2 linked regions of the Bombyx mori genome follow. The protein of the gene in region 1 interacts with the protein of each later gene in a pairwise test. Links are inferred from orthologs where the notes say so. Each region holds a gene or a part of one and is shown on either strand. Other genes may lie near its edges.

Region 1 (8,375 bases):
TTGTTCCTGAGGACAAATTTGACAGTGATGAGTCAAATGCACCAGCAACAGAAGGATCAACTGTTGACTATGAGTTATCTCTCTATATCTCCACTCCATCAAAGACTTGTGCACTTCAGACTATAGCTCTCAAGAAGACTAAAAAGTTGAAAAAATGAATGTGTTAACAACTTTATCTAAAGTGAAAAATAAACAACGTTTATATATTGGTCTTCCACAAGAATTATGTTTCATAATAGGCTTGATTGAGAAACATACAAATGTTTCTGAACAAAATATTATATTATGTCTGATGAGAATAACATTAAATAGAACATTCTCTCAATTGGCTGATGATTTCGATTTATCTGTAAGTCAAGCAAGCAATATATTTTTCAACAAACTCCCAGAAATTGCAAATGTAATATCACCCCTTGTTAGACTATAAAAAAAACAATACAATAAATATATATGCAGGAAGGATAATTGATGTCAACTTGGTGGAAAATAGAAAGTTTTTAGATAGTTTGCCACCTACAAAACTCTTTAATTAAATAAGTAATCCTTACTTATAATTGAGGAAGTTTTGTAAGTATTTTCACTCTTCATTCAAAAACTACTGAACAGATTTTAATAAGACTTTTATGCTGGTCTTCTATGGCTAGCAACTCATTATTATTTTGATTCTGTTTTCCACAAATGTGCTAAATATGGGCTTATATATATGAAAAGGAATAAATATTAATGTTATGTAACCTTTGTACCTGTATGTTAAGAATAATTTTTAATAAAACATAATTTAAATTGAAATATTTTTATTAAATCACATTCACTTTGTACACATCAATATTTTGTACTCCCTAAAAGGAAAATAGGTATAAAGTTTTTTTTAAATATTTAACATTACATTTTTGTGTAGGATTAGAAAATTGTTATTCTTCCAAAAAGAAACTACATTATCTAACAACTGTGCAACTTACTCGGAATCAAAATCAATACCTACTAATTATAGTGACCTGATTAGTTTTTTCAAAGTTGCTGGATGCTACACAAAAGTAGCAAGTTTTACTTTTAGCACAATACATATGCATTTGAACTTGTGCATAATATCTTTCTTTAATTTTTTTTTGCCTTTTTATTTATGGAAACATAGCATTACTCACTTGCTTGTTTGTAGATCTATCAAAAAAACATAATTTATGTTTTTTTTAGCACAGTGGACAATACCCTATTATTCATATTAATTATATACGGCGCGGCGATGCGAAAATTCATTACTGAATTATTTAAGAATGATAGGCATAATATAATATTTTAATTCGCGATCTGTTTATAATTTTTAATATATGATTTAAAAATAAGTTATCTTTAATATTTTTAATTTTGTGATTTATGGGGTGGTCACAGTCATTATTATAAAAATAGAAATTTTGAGGAAATATAAATGTTTAATACAAATTATTTTGATAATCGAAATAAATTCATATCAATCCAAATTCATATTTGAACTATGAAAATTGTATGGTATGTAAACAGAAATATATTTTATAATTATAATGACTATTTATTCCATGCAGTATCTGTGCAAGCTTCTCTAACCGACACTGCAACTAGAATAAAGTCTAATAAAGAATAAGAATAAACTTTTCTTCGAAGCTCAATTCTACAAGGGTATTCAATCAGATAGATATCTCTCTGTCGTTCCTGTATGAAATTTTGGTATGTCGAAATCTTGGATAAATCCAGCAAAGCTAAATAAAGTATTTACCTAAAAAATATGTTTATGCTTAAAGTCACGTGTTTATGTTATTCGAAAGTATTAAGCTCCAAGCAGCATTTAGCTCCAACTAAATTCATTAAGAACCAATTTTTCAATCGATGATTAAAACAACATTAATACTGAGAATGAATATTTATTTATAAAATACACATATGTTTTGACCACGAATTTTGCACGATAATGAATAAATATGAATTAATCTTCTTCTTCTATAACCCATAGTCAACAGTTGATCCTTCTGTTGCTGGTGCATTTGACTCATCACTGTCAAATTTGTCCTCAGGAACAACAGTTTTTTTTTTTGCTGGTTCTGATTGTTTACTTATACTTGCTTCAGATATATTAAGGGGTGATGTTGCAATACACACTTGCCTTGCCTTTGTGTTCCTGTGCTGGAGCTACTTGGATAGCTTTGTCATTACTACACCTATTTTCAAGTGGCTGGACATCTAGAAATATGAAATAATGTTAGCAATTTCCAACAAACGTATAGTTTGTAAATATATAGGATTATATGTGTACTGTCGTAGTAGTAGTAGTAGTATTTAACTTCCTAGTCATCATCATCAGCCCATATAATATATCCCCTTGCTGGACACTGGCCTTCACTACCATTGAGAGGGTTTTTAGGCCTTAGTCCACCACGCTGTCCTAGTGCTGGTTGGTGGATTACACACCTAAGAAAATCCTAAGAACATTTAGGTGTGCAGGTTTCATCACAATGTTTTCCTTCACTGTTAAAGTAAGTAAGTGATATTACACTGTGATAAATTTTCATTTTCACAAACTTCCTAGTACCTTATGTAATAGGAACTGAGATCCACTTGCCCATTTTGGCTACTTCCACTAACTAACTAACTATTCTCATTTTTTCTGATATTGTTATTTGATTAGGAGATCTGTGAGTGTAACTAATTATTGACAGTTACACCTACCTTGACTACAAGATGGCAAAGGTATAATAATACGACACATCTCATTTTTAGTCGTCTCTTCAATTTCCTTGATAATAGTGAGTCTTTGCCGTTTCACAAATGCAGGCCGAGGTTCACTATGAGTGAATTTTCGTTTTCTATCTGCCCGACAATCGAATTTGGATGGTAAACAGTTTGGTTTCATTCGAATTCATTTGATGGAGCTCATTATCTTGTATTGCATATAATTCTCCATGTAGTTTTCCAGCTAAAACATGAAATAATTTGCCAACAATTTCAATACATAACCTATAAAAAAAATATTAAAATGTTATTTTACTAATGTTAGGAATATAATTTCGACTGTGTCAAAATGTTATTATAATGTATACCGTACCTACATTATCTCTTGAAAGATAAATAATGAACATATTTACTTATTTGTTTATATTACCTATGTGAACTCTTAACCTATCTTTTTTATACCTTCATAGCGATAGGTATATAGGAGGATGGAAAAAATGTATTTGGGCTAACTTTACGCGAATGCACATTATTTTATTTATTTATTTTTTAATTTTTTTAATTAAACTGTATCCAATTAAATGATCCTTCAGGATTTAAAATTGTTTTTTTTTCACGATTAAAACCGCGTAGAAAGTTTAAGCATTATAGTTGACGCATGCGCCATAGATTATACACTTATGGCATGCGCAGTACACATATTTTGTATACATTTATTCAACTAATACAATTAATTAAACAAAAAATGAGTAATTTCGAAAGAGAACAAACGTATTTTATATATGAACAATCGAAAATGAATATTTACGAGTAATTAAGGACGAAAAAATATTAAAAATTGCAATCGAGGGGCTAACTTTTAGATATATTTTTAATATTTTTTTTAAAATAAATAAATGGGGAACAAACAATTATTAACAGTGAACAATCAAGAACAAATGATGAACAAACGAATTAATAGAAAATAAGTAGAAAACAGGAAAAAAAAATTTTTTGAGGGGCTAACTTCATTCACCCTGGGAGTTGCACCCCCCTGATGCAAACAAAGGAAGGTTTGTTGTGTTTATGTCTAAGCCATCCATAGACTATTTTATTTGATTTGTCCAATTGACTTCGGCAAAAGGAATGCAGACTATAAATTTATAGCAAAAAAATCAAAGCTATCAAATGAATACTGAAAATAACTAATATGAAAAAAATTAAGATTAAAATAATATTAAGATTAAAATAATATTAAGATAAAAATTAAGATTAAAATAGCTTCTCGGTAAAATAATGAGAATTTACTGAGAGTTAGACTTTTTGAAAATCATCTGCGACAGAACAAATCTGTTACTCACACTTGTGCACTTATCTGTATCAAATTGTTAGGTAAGCCACCACTATAGCATGTTTTCTAAAACCAGATTAAGCACTATATAAAACGAAATTTTTTACACAGATTTAGATTCGAAGACACTTGACACATGGTAGGCAGCGGCTTGGCTCTGCCCCTGGCTTTGATGACGTCCACGAGTGACGGTAACTACTTACCATCAGCTGGGCCGTATGCTCATCTGCCTACAAAGGCAATAAAAAATAAAAATAAATAATCATCATATTATTTGGCTGCCAAAAAGTAAAGACAAATAGTATGTTAGATATTAAATACCATTTGTATTACAATGCTTTTTGGCTCTCATTCTCATTTACAAATCTCAAACAATTATGTTTAGTATATAATTAATTAATTATAGTATAAAGTTGTATACAAGACTGAATAAGGCAATGAGATATTTATTTTAGTAATTGTGTTTTAACCAACTTGACATGCATATGGATGCCAGTATTCACAAACATTCATATACTACTGAGGAAATCTTTAAAGTAAGGATTAGTGTTAATTGCATGGTACAAAATACTATTTTACTTTAATTACTTTGAGGCAGAAATGTGTAGATGGTTGTGGCTATCCATAGAGCTATAGTACTATACCTCTATAATGCTACAGCTGCTGGGATTCATTCATTAAACTGCTTACAAAAATGTTATAGTAAAAGCATTTTTATTTCCTGACATTTGACTGATATCTTTTATGTAGAAATCCATGATTATATTTTTCAACACTTTTATTATTGATCATTTATTTAATATATTTTTAAGACAAATTTATCATTAAGATTATAATTGTATCTCAGTCCATCTAATGATCATCATTCAACATTTACAGCTGAATGACGTTTCTCACATCAGATCTTTGGTTTTTTTGGTAAAGATCCAAAAGCAGCAATGACAGTTCCCTTTGTGCCAGTGATGTTTGTTGTCAGTGGTTGTTGCACTAGGCCTGGTTGTTTGATATTCGGCTTAGAGCCTATATTGGGAGCAGCTTGATCCCATTTTGATTTTCTTTTCTTTTCATCGTCACTTTCAGGTTTCTTGGCAACTCCACTGATAAAGTCAATTTTTGACAATTTTTCTTTTTTTTCTTTCTCTCTTCTCTCCATTTCCAGTTTTTGAACTTTAGAGAGTTCCTCATAGTAAGATTCTTTCCCCCATTTTAATGGATCATATATTTCTGGAGGATAATTTGTATCAAGTTCATTGATATCACAGAATTGTATCAATTTTTCATATATACTTGGATTCCTAAAATTTTTCTTGTCCTGTATGATTCTATTCATGTCAAGTCCTTCTGTTAACATGCGGTTGTAAAATTTTGCTATAGATTCTTGTAGTTCTTTGGGACACTTTCCTGATGGTTCAGGTGGGATTGTGATGCCGTCTTCGGAGTCATCAGGGTCTGATCGCTGTACTGCTTCGTCTGTATCGGTCTCCATGGACAAACGGCGCATGTCATCTTCATTTTCATTAACTGGTGATGTCGGTTCTTCGTCAGACACTATCGTGTCATCTACGTAGCTAACTAGACTTTTCTTAGGGGAAACTGGAGCTGAGGCTGGCTTGTTACTTTCCTCCACTTTCCGAGGACTGGTCGGGACGGAATGAGCTTCTTTTGGCTCTTCTTTTTCAGGCGTTTGGTCTTCCATATCTTCTTCGCCTTCAGAGTCGGTGTAAGTCGCTGTGAGCGACGCTAACGCTTGGGAAGTCATTATGTTGTTACAGCTTATGTTACACAAAGGTTGCTTTAATAGAATATGGCAACTTTCTTTAAAACCAAATACCCATTTAATTTAAGCAAAAAACACGTCTAAATATTCTAACAAACTCTGACATAAAATAGATGAAAATGACATATGACATTCAATCAATGTTTATTTGGCTTGTTTGAACATTCAACAGGCAAATGGAATATAGCCCATAACAAACAATGGAATCCTTGAGGTCAAAAGCTTTGTCTGTTAAGCCTGCAATACATATTGGTCGAGCGTCGCCCATTGAACGCCAATATCAACGTCTTGCCATCGCTCGCTGTCGTTCACCTAGTTAGCCGAGTAAAGTCAAGCGCTAACTTGTTTAAAACTCATTTGGCGTAGCTTGTCACAACTTGCGGTCGCTCGCGACCACTTGCCGCACTTCAGGGCGCTGTCGGTTTTTCTGCACAAATCAAAGGCGCTAGCACGCACTAGGCCAATAGTACTGTCTACATGTTTGTCAGCGCGCCATCACGTGGTTGGCGACGGTCGTGTGTACGCGTACAAAACGTCACTCACAACTGACGGAGCCCAACGTGTGGGCATCTCTTCAAAATTCGTCTTTATTGGCCATTTGCATTGGTTTTGGATAACCTGCCGAACGTGTAGGCAGTAGCACTTCCCTTGCACAATTTGTCTCTACGCTCGCGTTGGCCTAAGCTCGACCAACATGTATAGCAGGCTTTAAATGAAAAGTGAAATGAGACGGAATCAATTAAAATTGACGATAGAAAGAAATTAAATGAGATAAGCAAATACTAATTGAATCATTGTAATTCATTTTTTGTCAAATCGGTATACACGTCTTTAATCTTGTCTGACTTAAGATTCTGGGAAGCTAAAGCTAATTTTAGAAAAATGTCAAAAGCAATTATATATTATGCAAACTTATATTCGAACTGTCGATAGCGCACTTTAGTTTTTGTCAAAAGTCCATTGTGCTCACACTGCATACAAATAATAATAGCCAAATGAGAGCCTTTCTTAAGTCATTTCAATAGGTATGTGGCGTTTTATTATGCGTAAGCCGGAACGCACGAGATGTGGGAAAAAGGAGATAGTCTGTGCCACAATACCTTTTTTACCGCCAAATATGAAAAACATAAAAATAATTTATAATGAGTTAAATAACTAATTTAATGTAATTACTTTATGCCGCTACAACAATAAAATTAATATTGTTCCAACTGTGGTGTTAATTACATAAAACACAACCAGGCGAAATAAAGAAGGGACTCTATATGAGCTCCCTCATTGGTGACCCCGACGTGATCGATCGTTACAAATAGAGATCGAGTACAAACCATATACCGTAAAATGGGGCGATTAGGGACAAATTCCAACTTTATGAGCAATTTTAAGGTAGTTGTTGATGTATATAATGCTATATCAGGATCAAAATGATTGAGTCTTGGGAGCATCTTTGTTGTCTAATTTAAAATTATGCAACTAGCATTCCAGTTTAAGCAAAAAATGCAAAAATAGGTGTAATCCCTATTTACCCGAAAATTGCGGTTAATTGGGACGAAATGAGAAATTTGCTAGGGTTGGCACTACTTTTATTTTTATATATAGTTTTAATTTATTTATTTATTTAGTTGCACCAACAAAGTGATCATCAATAAAAAAAATTGAAAAACTGACAAAAGTACATGGCAGACATCACCTCAATTATAGGTGCAATCGACAGTGCTGATATTTCTATCTGGGTTGAGAGATTAGGTGTATTGGTTATTCCATGGATTAATCAGATGAATACCCCCACTCTGAACAAATATTAAATATTTTATTATGTATTACTTAGACATTTTTGTCCACCTTGAGATTTCATTGATCTTGTTACATGTCTCTGCAAAATCGACTTACTTATATTAAATTGCTTATCTATTTCAACTAAAGACTTATTCCCAATTTCGCTTCGAATAAACCAGATTTTTACCAACAAATTTAAAAAATATTGTTATAACTACATAGACAACCCTACAAACCTGTACCTATTTATACTTAGGTCGTTTCCATTTCACGTATTCTCATCCCAATTGACCCCTTTTTCGTTGTTATTTATACCTAAGACGTCCCCAATATCCCCAAAAACAACAGATTTTTACATGTATTTTTATTTAATCAAATACATTAAAACAAATAACAACTGAGACTTACTGGTTGCGCCAGCGTCATAACAGATTTGTAGATGAATGTTTTTATAATAATATGGCAGCTATGACACTTTTCCCTTCCCCTTCCTCACCCATCCCCCGCGCCCTGGATTGGCTAATACGAGCGACGCGGGCACACAGAACAGAAAAGAAAAGAAGAAAAATATGGCGTTTTCCTAGCGCGCGCTCCGCATTACAGAAATCAGTAATTTTGTGATTTAATTATTGATATGGCTTAAGACTTTATCCTTATAAAACATTAGTGTCAGTGTATCACAGTGTCGTGCAAGATAGAAGATACACCAACTGGTTTCAAGCACTTCTAGCAGCCGTGATTCGGACGACTCCATCGTCTCCAGGTACGGCGTTTTCCTTCACAATTTCCCTCGGG
Region 2 (8,375 bases), on another chromosome or scaffold:
CGTTGGCCATTTACCTATGTGGGCTGCAAAATAATCATCCAGTTCAAACAGATATATTTAAATTATCTGGTATGTGAAATTAAGATTATAAGTTCAGTGGTGGCAAATTCATTTCATTGTCATTTTACTTTGGAAGCTGCTCAACATTAGGTGGTCTAATCTATTCTATATAATACTATTTATGATACTTTATATTATATATTATGTATCCAGTATTAAAGTTTTAGGCAATTCATTGAAATCATCTTGACTGATTACTTGGAACATGACACTACAACTTAATATACCTAATATATATAAGGTTATAGACTTGTAAATAGTTGTAATATCTATAGATAGTCACATTACAATAACCATCTGACAGTATAAATTTTATGTCACTTAATGCCTTGGTAATTAATCTCCTAGCAAAAACATAGTCAATGCAATTACATTTTTTATGAATTTTAAATAATACATAAGTTCTTACATAATACTACTCCATACATAAGTTCTTGAAATATTATTTTGTTGCTTTCATTATGTAACATTCTAAGGCTGTGCTGAAAAACCAAAAAAAGAACAGAAGAAGTATAATATCAGGTCTGTGGAGTTCTTTTTTTATTCTATAAAAAAATTATACAAGAAAAATGAGTGATCTATGATGAAGATTCTATGTCAATTTTTATTCCCTAATAAGGATTTTTAAAAGTTTTTAATATTGGTGGTAGGAAGTCTTGTGAGTAGGCACAGGTAGGCACCAGCACCCTGCCTAAATTCTCTGTGAAGTAGTAATGTTATATAGTTTCAAAGGGTGGGGCAAATGTAAAAACTGAGATCTTAGAGTTCATGTGTTAAGGTGGATGGCAGCCTTTATTTTATGGATGTCTATGGGCTCCAGAAACTACTTAACACAAGATGACTTATCTAAACAAATAACATGGATGCATATCAAATTAATTACTAATTCTATAGGTATTTTATTTAGTAATTGTTGTGTGAGCATTTGAACAAAATTCAACAGAAGAAATATTATTTTCCACAAAAATTATTATGTTTTTACATTTATTCAAATTGCAATAATTAGTCACCAATGTAGTCAGTACACTTATATATTTTATGTCAGTATTCACATGTTATATTAGCTATTTGAATAGACATTGATGTAGAATTAAGTCTAATATTTGCATTTAATACTAGAGTATTTAGGTTTGAAACTGACTACTTATTACTCTGAATTCCGTTCTTTGTGTGTATTGTGAACCGTTTTCATAAGTGCTCACTGTTGATAACTTCTTAAAAATATATTTTCGTTATTGATGAACAAGATAGCTCATTCTTTTGAAGTGACTTTATTAAATTTGTAATAAGCAATTGCTGTGTGTTAGAATTTTACCTTTACACCTTTAACAGCACACTTTTAATTTTATTATGATTGTCTAATTTGGTTACTTATACACTAAAATGTTAGAATTACATTAGTTTTCTATAAAGTTACACGCCTTTTATCTTGTAATTAAGTAAACAAATGCATTATTTTTATTGTTTGGATAATGTTAAGCATCCTCAGTAAATCATTTATAGAATTTTATTAAGTACTGGTAACGACTGTACACAATGAAGTGTGTATTCGGGAACAACGGGCGCCCTTCATAGCCTTGCACGAGTTATTTATGTATGCGAGAGCATCATGTTCTTATTTCAAACACCATTTATTTTTAAATTCATAACATAAACTACTATTGGATTGAGGTACTTAGCATGCATTAGACAAAATTTTAACATAAACATTATCACAACGCACCTTTAAGCGCCAGGTACATAGGTGGAACCCGGTGACATAGGGAGTAAATTAACATAACTTCGTCCTTAGACTGTTTATAACACTGGTCATACCTCAAAATAAGACCTAAAACTTACTCACTATTATTAACAGCAAACATCACGAAACTAAATTAACTTTTATTTTAATATTGCGAATAGGAAATCACAGACGGTAATAAAATTATTGCCACACATTCAAACCAACCACAGTACACAACTTGACTTGAAGCCTATTGAAATGCGTTTACGAATGCGAGGTCTGTTTCTCTTTAAAATCTCATGCAAAATGTTGAGTGATCTGTGAGATTTCTGAACGAAATACAGAGAAAGTAAAATTCATAGAGAAAGAAAACTACCGAAAATTATTGCAATGATATGGTAATACCGTTAGTAAGTGAGAAGAGAATGTCAAATTTATATTTTTAGTCTATGTTCGACGTCAGGGTGTGGTAGAATTTAATTTCAGATATAGTGGTAAACATTTGCTCGGAATACGTTTTTGAAAACTCTTTGGTAGAATATCCTGGTATCAATCTCTTTATTTCATCGCCTGCGATCGTGCGCTTTAAACGTTTTTGAATCCAGTAAAGCAATAAGTGAAAATTAAGTAGAATTTTAACAATGGCAAATATAGCAGCCAAACGTATAAAAAGAGAGTTCAAAGAGATAATGAAAAGTGAAGAGGTATGGATAATAATTTAACTAAACTTTATATTTGTTTTGATGTTTAGAATGTAGAACTGGAGTTACTTGCACTTTTGTTAAAATGTCATATTTTGTTGGAATGCATTATTATTATTTAGATAGTTAAATTGCCCAAGAAACTAAATTGTTGGATTGTCTCGATATAATAAAACAAAGAACAAATAGCCAGTTCAGAACAATGTGTGCGTGATTCAGCAAACTTGTAGAAATCATGTTTTGTTTAAATTCAAAACGTTAATGCTATTTTTAATTCGTCGAAAAGGAATTATTTTACTGCTTCGTAATAGTAAAATTAGCTTTTCAAAATACATCTATAATGTTTTTCGTGATTCATACGAGAAAAAGTAAACATTTTGTTTTCTATATTTTCTACCAATGTTTTTAATAGAAACAATACTTATATTACCCACATTGATCTTTATAAGTAATTGAAGTTGTGTTTAAAATAAAATAAAAGATTTTATCCGATTTATGCCCAAGCAAAAGTATTTTTGGCTTATTTATCAAATCACAGTTATGACACTGGTGGCTTCAGGCAACCATTTACTTCCAAAAAGCCAGACATAGTACAGGTATTTTTACATTATTTTGGATTTATTCCCTCATTATTGATTGCCATTGAAATAGAACTTGTGTGTGGGGCACCAGCATCCCCTTGTATATGTGTTCAGCTTACCAAGTAGCAATATTTACACATAACATACCGAATTTTTTTAAATTAAATATCTGTAGCACTATTGTCATGGACAGATTGCCTTATTTATTGCAATTGTAAGAGCACACCTGCGTGCAATGCATGTAATACATTAATGTACCGAACATGATCCAGGCGATACTAAGCTAACAGCATTCATAATCCACATTTTGATTACAATAGTAATTGTCCTCATAAACATGAACTAGACGATGACCGAGCTTTGCTCGGTATTAATTTTTTTTTTGATAAATTGTCTTTCGGTTGGCTTAACAACGTCATCTGTGGAAATAACTTTAGTGTTATTGTGTCTTTAAACAATTATGAAAAATAGTATTATTATTCGCCAATATATGTCGGGAAGTCATAAAGTTGATTATCGATAAAGTTGATTATTGAAAACACAAGTAAAACAACATTTCCTAAAATAAATTCTAGCTAGATCGATTTATCGCTCCCTGAAATCCCATGTATACTAAATTTCATAAAAATCGTTGGAGCCATTTCCGAGATTCAGATTATATATATATACAAGAATTGCTTGTTTAAAGGTATAAGATTCTGTGTTTGTGTAGACTAAGAATATTAAATATCTCAGTCCTAGCCCAAACCCAGCAAAAACTGAATTTTTCATTAGACAAAGTTTTTGCACTTCCTGCAAGTATGTGCTCTCCAATTAGCAAGTATCTTTTACTGCCTAGGTTGTATCTGAAAGCTAGCATGTGTAGTAAGAAGGTTACTCCTACTTAAAATATCTGCACTGCATTAGCACCAAGGCCCAATTTTTGTTTATTTATATATAGTGTAGATTATTGGAACTATCTTCTTATTGAGATCCATATTAAGAGTTTTTCAGGAATACCATTCATTAAATTGAATTACCAGGGCTCTTGCATTTACTTTTCTTAACCTTCTGTACTGAAATAATATACTGTACAATGACACATTGTGTAATTGTGTTAGTCATATTTGTATATCTAAAAGTGCATACTTGCTGCATTGTAAGCTTGCACAATTTCTTATCTCTCTCTAACCTTTAGCTTCTGCACGGCTGCCCACTGAGATCTTCTAGCACCTCACATCTAAATGGAACAAATGTTTATGTTTCTGCAAATATAAACAGCAGGGAAAACAAAGAGGGTTGTAATTGCCAGGAGGAGTGGGATTTGCTAACAACTGCCTTAGCACCTCTAAAGAAAACCTGCCATCTCAAGGGCAATTGCTTCACGAATTCATCTTCTACCAGACCGGAATTGCGCCCCACTGAGAAGATCTGGCGAGAAATTTAGCAGGCTCTAAATGTTATAGAGGGTAGATTTACTTTGAACTCTGACGAGTTTGATGAGTTCGGTTAGCAGGGTTCCTATACTTGCTCCTAGTGTTAGAGTTGCAGGTATCTAATGCAAGAGTTATTGGATCAGATAGATCTGTAAGGACGTGTCTAGAACGTCAACGATGACTGACTCCTGTGTGAGTCTGTGGCGATATACTTGCTCCTAGAGTTAGAGTTGTAGGTATCTAATGCACGAGTTATTGGATCAGATAGATCTGTAAGGACGTGTCTAGGACGTCAACGATGACTGACTCCTGTATGAGTCTGTGGCGATGGTGGCGGATGTGATTTTCATCAAGATTCATTATCATTTCTTCAAGATCTACATATTGCGATGTAACATCATATTACTTATATCTCAATCAATTCTAGGGCTTTAACAGCCTTCATAAAAAGGAGGCTATTTATCAATTCAGCTCTGTTTTTTGTGTTAATTCAAAAGTTTTTCTCGGTCAACTGATTTTTATGATTCTTTTTTTTTTTATTATCAAATTTCAATTTTTATCGAAGTCTGAGCAGTCGTTTTTGAGTTATCCTTATTGATCTATATTTAATTGACATTGATTACATTGATCAAATTATCTCAAAATCAAAAAATGATCTAATTTTAATTTTTAAATTTGGTTTTCTTTTTTTTAATTTCGGTATCGTATTCATAAAGCTGTTTGGAACCCATTTTCGTCCTGAAATATGATTTCAATATAGGTTAAGAGTCTATTACTCTTAGAATTAGATTAGAACTTATCTCTATGATCAAGTTTTGCTATATAATAATTTTATAACTGAATAAAGCGTGTAAAAAGATTCCAATTTCGATCAGTTATTTGCAATCTAATATTAAAGTTCATTCTAAATCCAACACCACCGCACAACCCATAAATGTTATGAAAATCATGACCAGTGTCTACAAATTATTCTTGTTCTGTGCACAAATCAACTAAGAGAATAGAAAATAATTAACAATAATAAATAAAAATTCTTTAGTATAATTAGATTGACATGAAGCAGAGTTTTAAACTAGTGCACAATCAAAGCAATAACAAAACTGCATGCATTGTTGTGATACATGTACTTATAAGCTCTGCTTAAGACTAAGAGAAATGTAAAATCTACTATACAAATATAAGTGAGACTTTAGCTGCCAATAGTATACTTCTGTCTATATAAATGTTTAACAATGGGAATAGGTAAGGTTAAGGGAGCCAATCAAGTGGATATATATTATAAAAATAGATAAAAAACGAAAAAAAAAACACTGTTGGAAGTATGTAATACTGAAAATTTTATTAACCAGAATTTTTACCAAAGAAGGAGATTATTGTATATTCTTAATATGTATCTATATTGAAAAAATGGCCTTAACTATTAAAACATTCAAATATTCATTTTATTTCAGATTGAAAATACAGTAAAGAAATTATCTTTCATTTTTATTCCTAACAAAACATGTTCAGCATCAATTTCATATCATTATCATTGGACAGAGGTCAGATGGATCGGTTAAAGTGGAACAACTACTTGTTTCCAATGAATATCAATAATGTTCCAATTGGTGTTGTTTTGTATATCGATGCGTGTTCGATATATCATTTTTATCTTGTTTTAATACTAGTACTAATTGAATAAGTAAAGGTTAAGAGTTTTCTTTTTGTTTCATAGGTGATTGGTGGCTCCATAAAATTGGGACTCGTGAATGAGAATTGGACTGAACTCAAAGGCGAGATAGCTGGTCCTGTTGATACTCCTTATGAAGGTGGGACCTTCCTCCTTGAAATTAAAGTTCCCGAAACTTATCCTTTCAATCCTCCTAAGGTATGTTTATTTACTAAGTTAAGATAAAAATTCAATTTTGAACAGCACAGATTTTTGCACTTATGTACAAGCCATGAATTATTAAATACAAAAAAATTATGTTAGTAACTTATTAAACAACGTCAATATATCTTAAATAATACTACAAACAATATTTTAAAAACAGGTTGCACACTAAATAACAGCATTGCAGAACAAAGCAAATTCATATTATTAACACTGCATAATATGTCCAATAAGTTTTGTTTTAATTAAGTTCATAAGTGTCTTCTTGCCTGTGTTACATTATACATATAATACACTAGCACAGTAGTCACAAAATAAAAAAGCTAAACAGTCATTTTATTTAATATATTCCTTTTTGACAGATACGCTTTTTGACCAAGATCTGGCATCCGAACGTGTCCTCAGTCACCGGTGCCATATGTTTAGACATCTTGAAAGACCAATGGGCAGCAGCTTTAACATTGCGTACAGTTCTATTGTCGTTGCAAGCATTACTGTCAGCAGGTGAACCTAATGATCCACAAGATGCTGTGGTCGCCAAACAGTTCAGAGAGAATCCTCGTTTATTCACTATGACGGCACGACATTGGACCAATGTTTATGCTGGTGGGCCAAATATAGTACACGAATGCAATAGCAAAGTGCAGCGTATGCTGGACATGGGTATTGATGAACATCAGGCCAGAGTAGCTCTCTCCTCATATGATTGGGACTTAGAGCGTGCCACTGAGCAACTTTTTGGCTAGATATTTGTAATAAATTTTAATTAAGACGTGTTGCAACCAATCTACTTTGATGTTGTAATTATCCCTGTTATTTTCATAGTGTGCCCTTTGTGGGGACTTAGATTTTTTTTCTTTCAATCCATCGTAAAAATAATTACAGTATATCACTAATTAAGATAGGTTTGATGTCCAAGTAAAATTTACTGTTATATATAAGTACGTTTGAAAGCGAACTATACTATTGAACTCAATAAAACAGAAAATATAAAACCAACTACTCCATAACCTTTTTAATATTGAATTTACACAAACGGCAGAAATAACTTAATCAGATAATAGCAACACTGAAATAGCACGTGGATATGAAATTGTACACAGAATCTTTAAATAATGTAGATTATAAATTTTATTTATGTACAATAATAAATCCTTAAATTTCCTCACGGAGTGTTACTCAATGGCTAAGAAAATAAAAACACAGAGTTTACATTATATGCAAATCAAGTATTAGATAATGTACAGTATTTTTTGTATATACCTATAAATGATTGTTATATGTATTCCATTTATAAATCAATATTTGTTTATGCAGACTCTTACTCTACGTAGACTATTTGTTTCTACTTTTATTCCATCGACGCGAAACTTTACTAAAGAAAGTAATTAGATTTCGAACTAAATGATTTTTATGAATGATTAATGAATAGTAATTATTTTTATTTTAAATATTAGTTTGGTGGTATTGATGACCTAATTCGTGTAGGTAGTTACTATACATTTGATATGTTTAGCTTATTCCATTTCTAGTTAGTTTTGTATAGTATGATCGAAGGCGTGGCGTGGGTAAGAATTCCACGATGTTTCCTTAATGGTAATTAAATATATGTAAATGAATCGTATAAATACATTAGTGTTTTATTTGTCTCCTGAACCCCAAACCTAAAAAATATATATATATTAAATTCTTAATAACATCATAAATACATAGTATACCAATTAACAACATGACCAGCAAAAGTTTTATTAAAACAGTGTTATTTGATAAATAGGATTATTTACTTATCGAACGAAAATAGTTTAAATTATAAAACTCAATTTTATGAATATATATTTTTAATTCTTCAGCAGGTAGACGAACTCTGGTCCACCTGGTGGTAAGTTGTTAGCGGAGCCCATAAACACCAACTATTGAAGTAAAAATAAAGAGAATGTAACATTAGTGTAGCGAAATTCGGAATAATGCCGAATAAACCAGGCAACGTGGAGGAGTTTATGTTGGAAAGCGGACCGGGAAAAC

The links.
Region 2: the proteins of zinc finger TRAF-type-containing protein 1 homolog (region 1) and Ubcd4 interact in a two-hybrid assay, tested with the Drosophila melanogaster proteins (2 studies listed by BioGRID). The link is inferred for Bombyx mori from reciprocal best matches to the Drosophila melanogaster genes CG32486 and Ubc4.

What each region holds. Positions count from the first base shown.
Region 1 is NC_085125.1:14,637,577-14,645,951, forward strand, and holds the start of zinc finger TRAF-type-containing protein 1 homolog, read right to left. Parts: upstream 3,769-8,375; 5' UTR 3,727-3,768; intron 790-3,726; exon of another isoform or gene 1-789. Other genes in the region: SAP30-binding protein, read right to left, coding at 4,926-5,786.
Region 2 is NC_085107.1:6,307,321-6,315,695, forward strand, and holds Ubcd4 (ubiquitin conjugating enzyme 4), read left to right. Parts: upstream 1-2,424; coding exon 2,425-2,487; intron 2,488-6,194; coding exon 6,195-6,347; intron 6,348-6,715; coding exon 6,716-7,099; downstream 7,100-8,375. UniProt on the Drosophila melanogaster protein: Catalyzes the covalent attachment of ubiquitin to other proteins.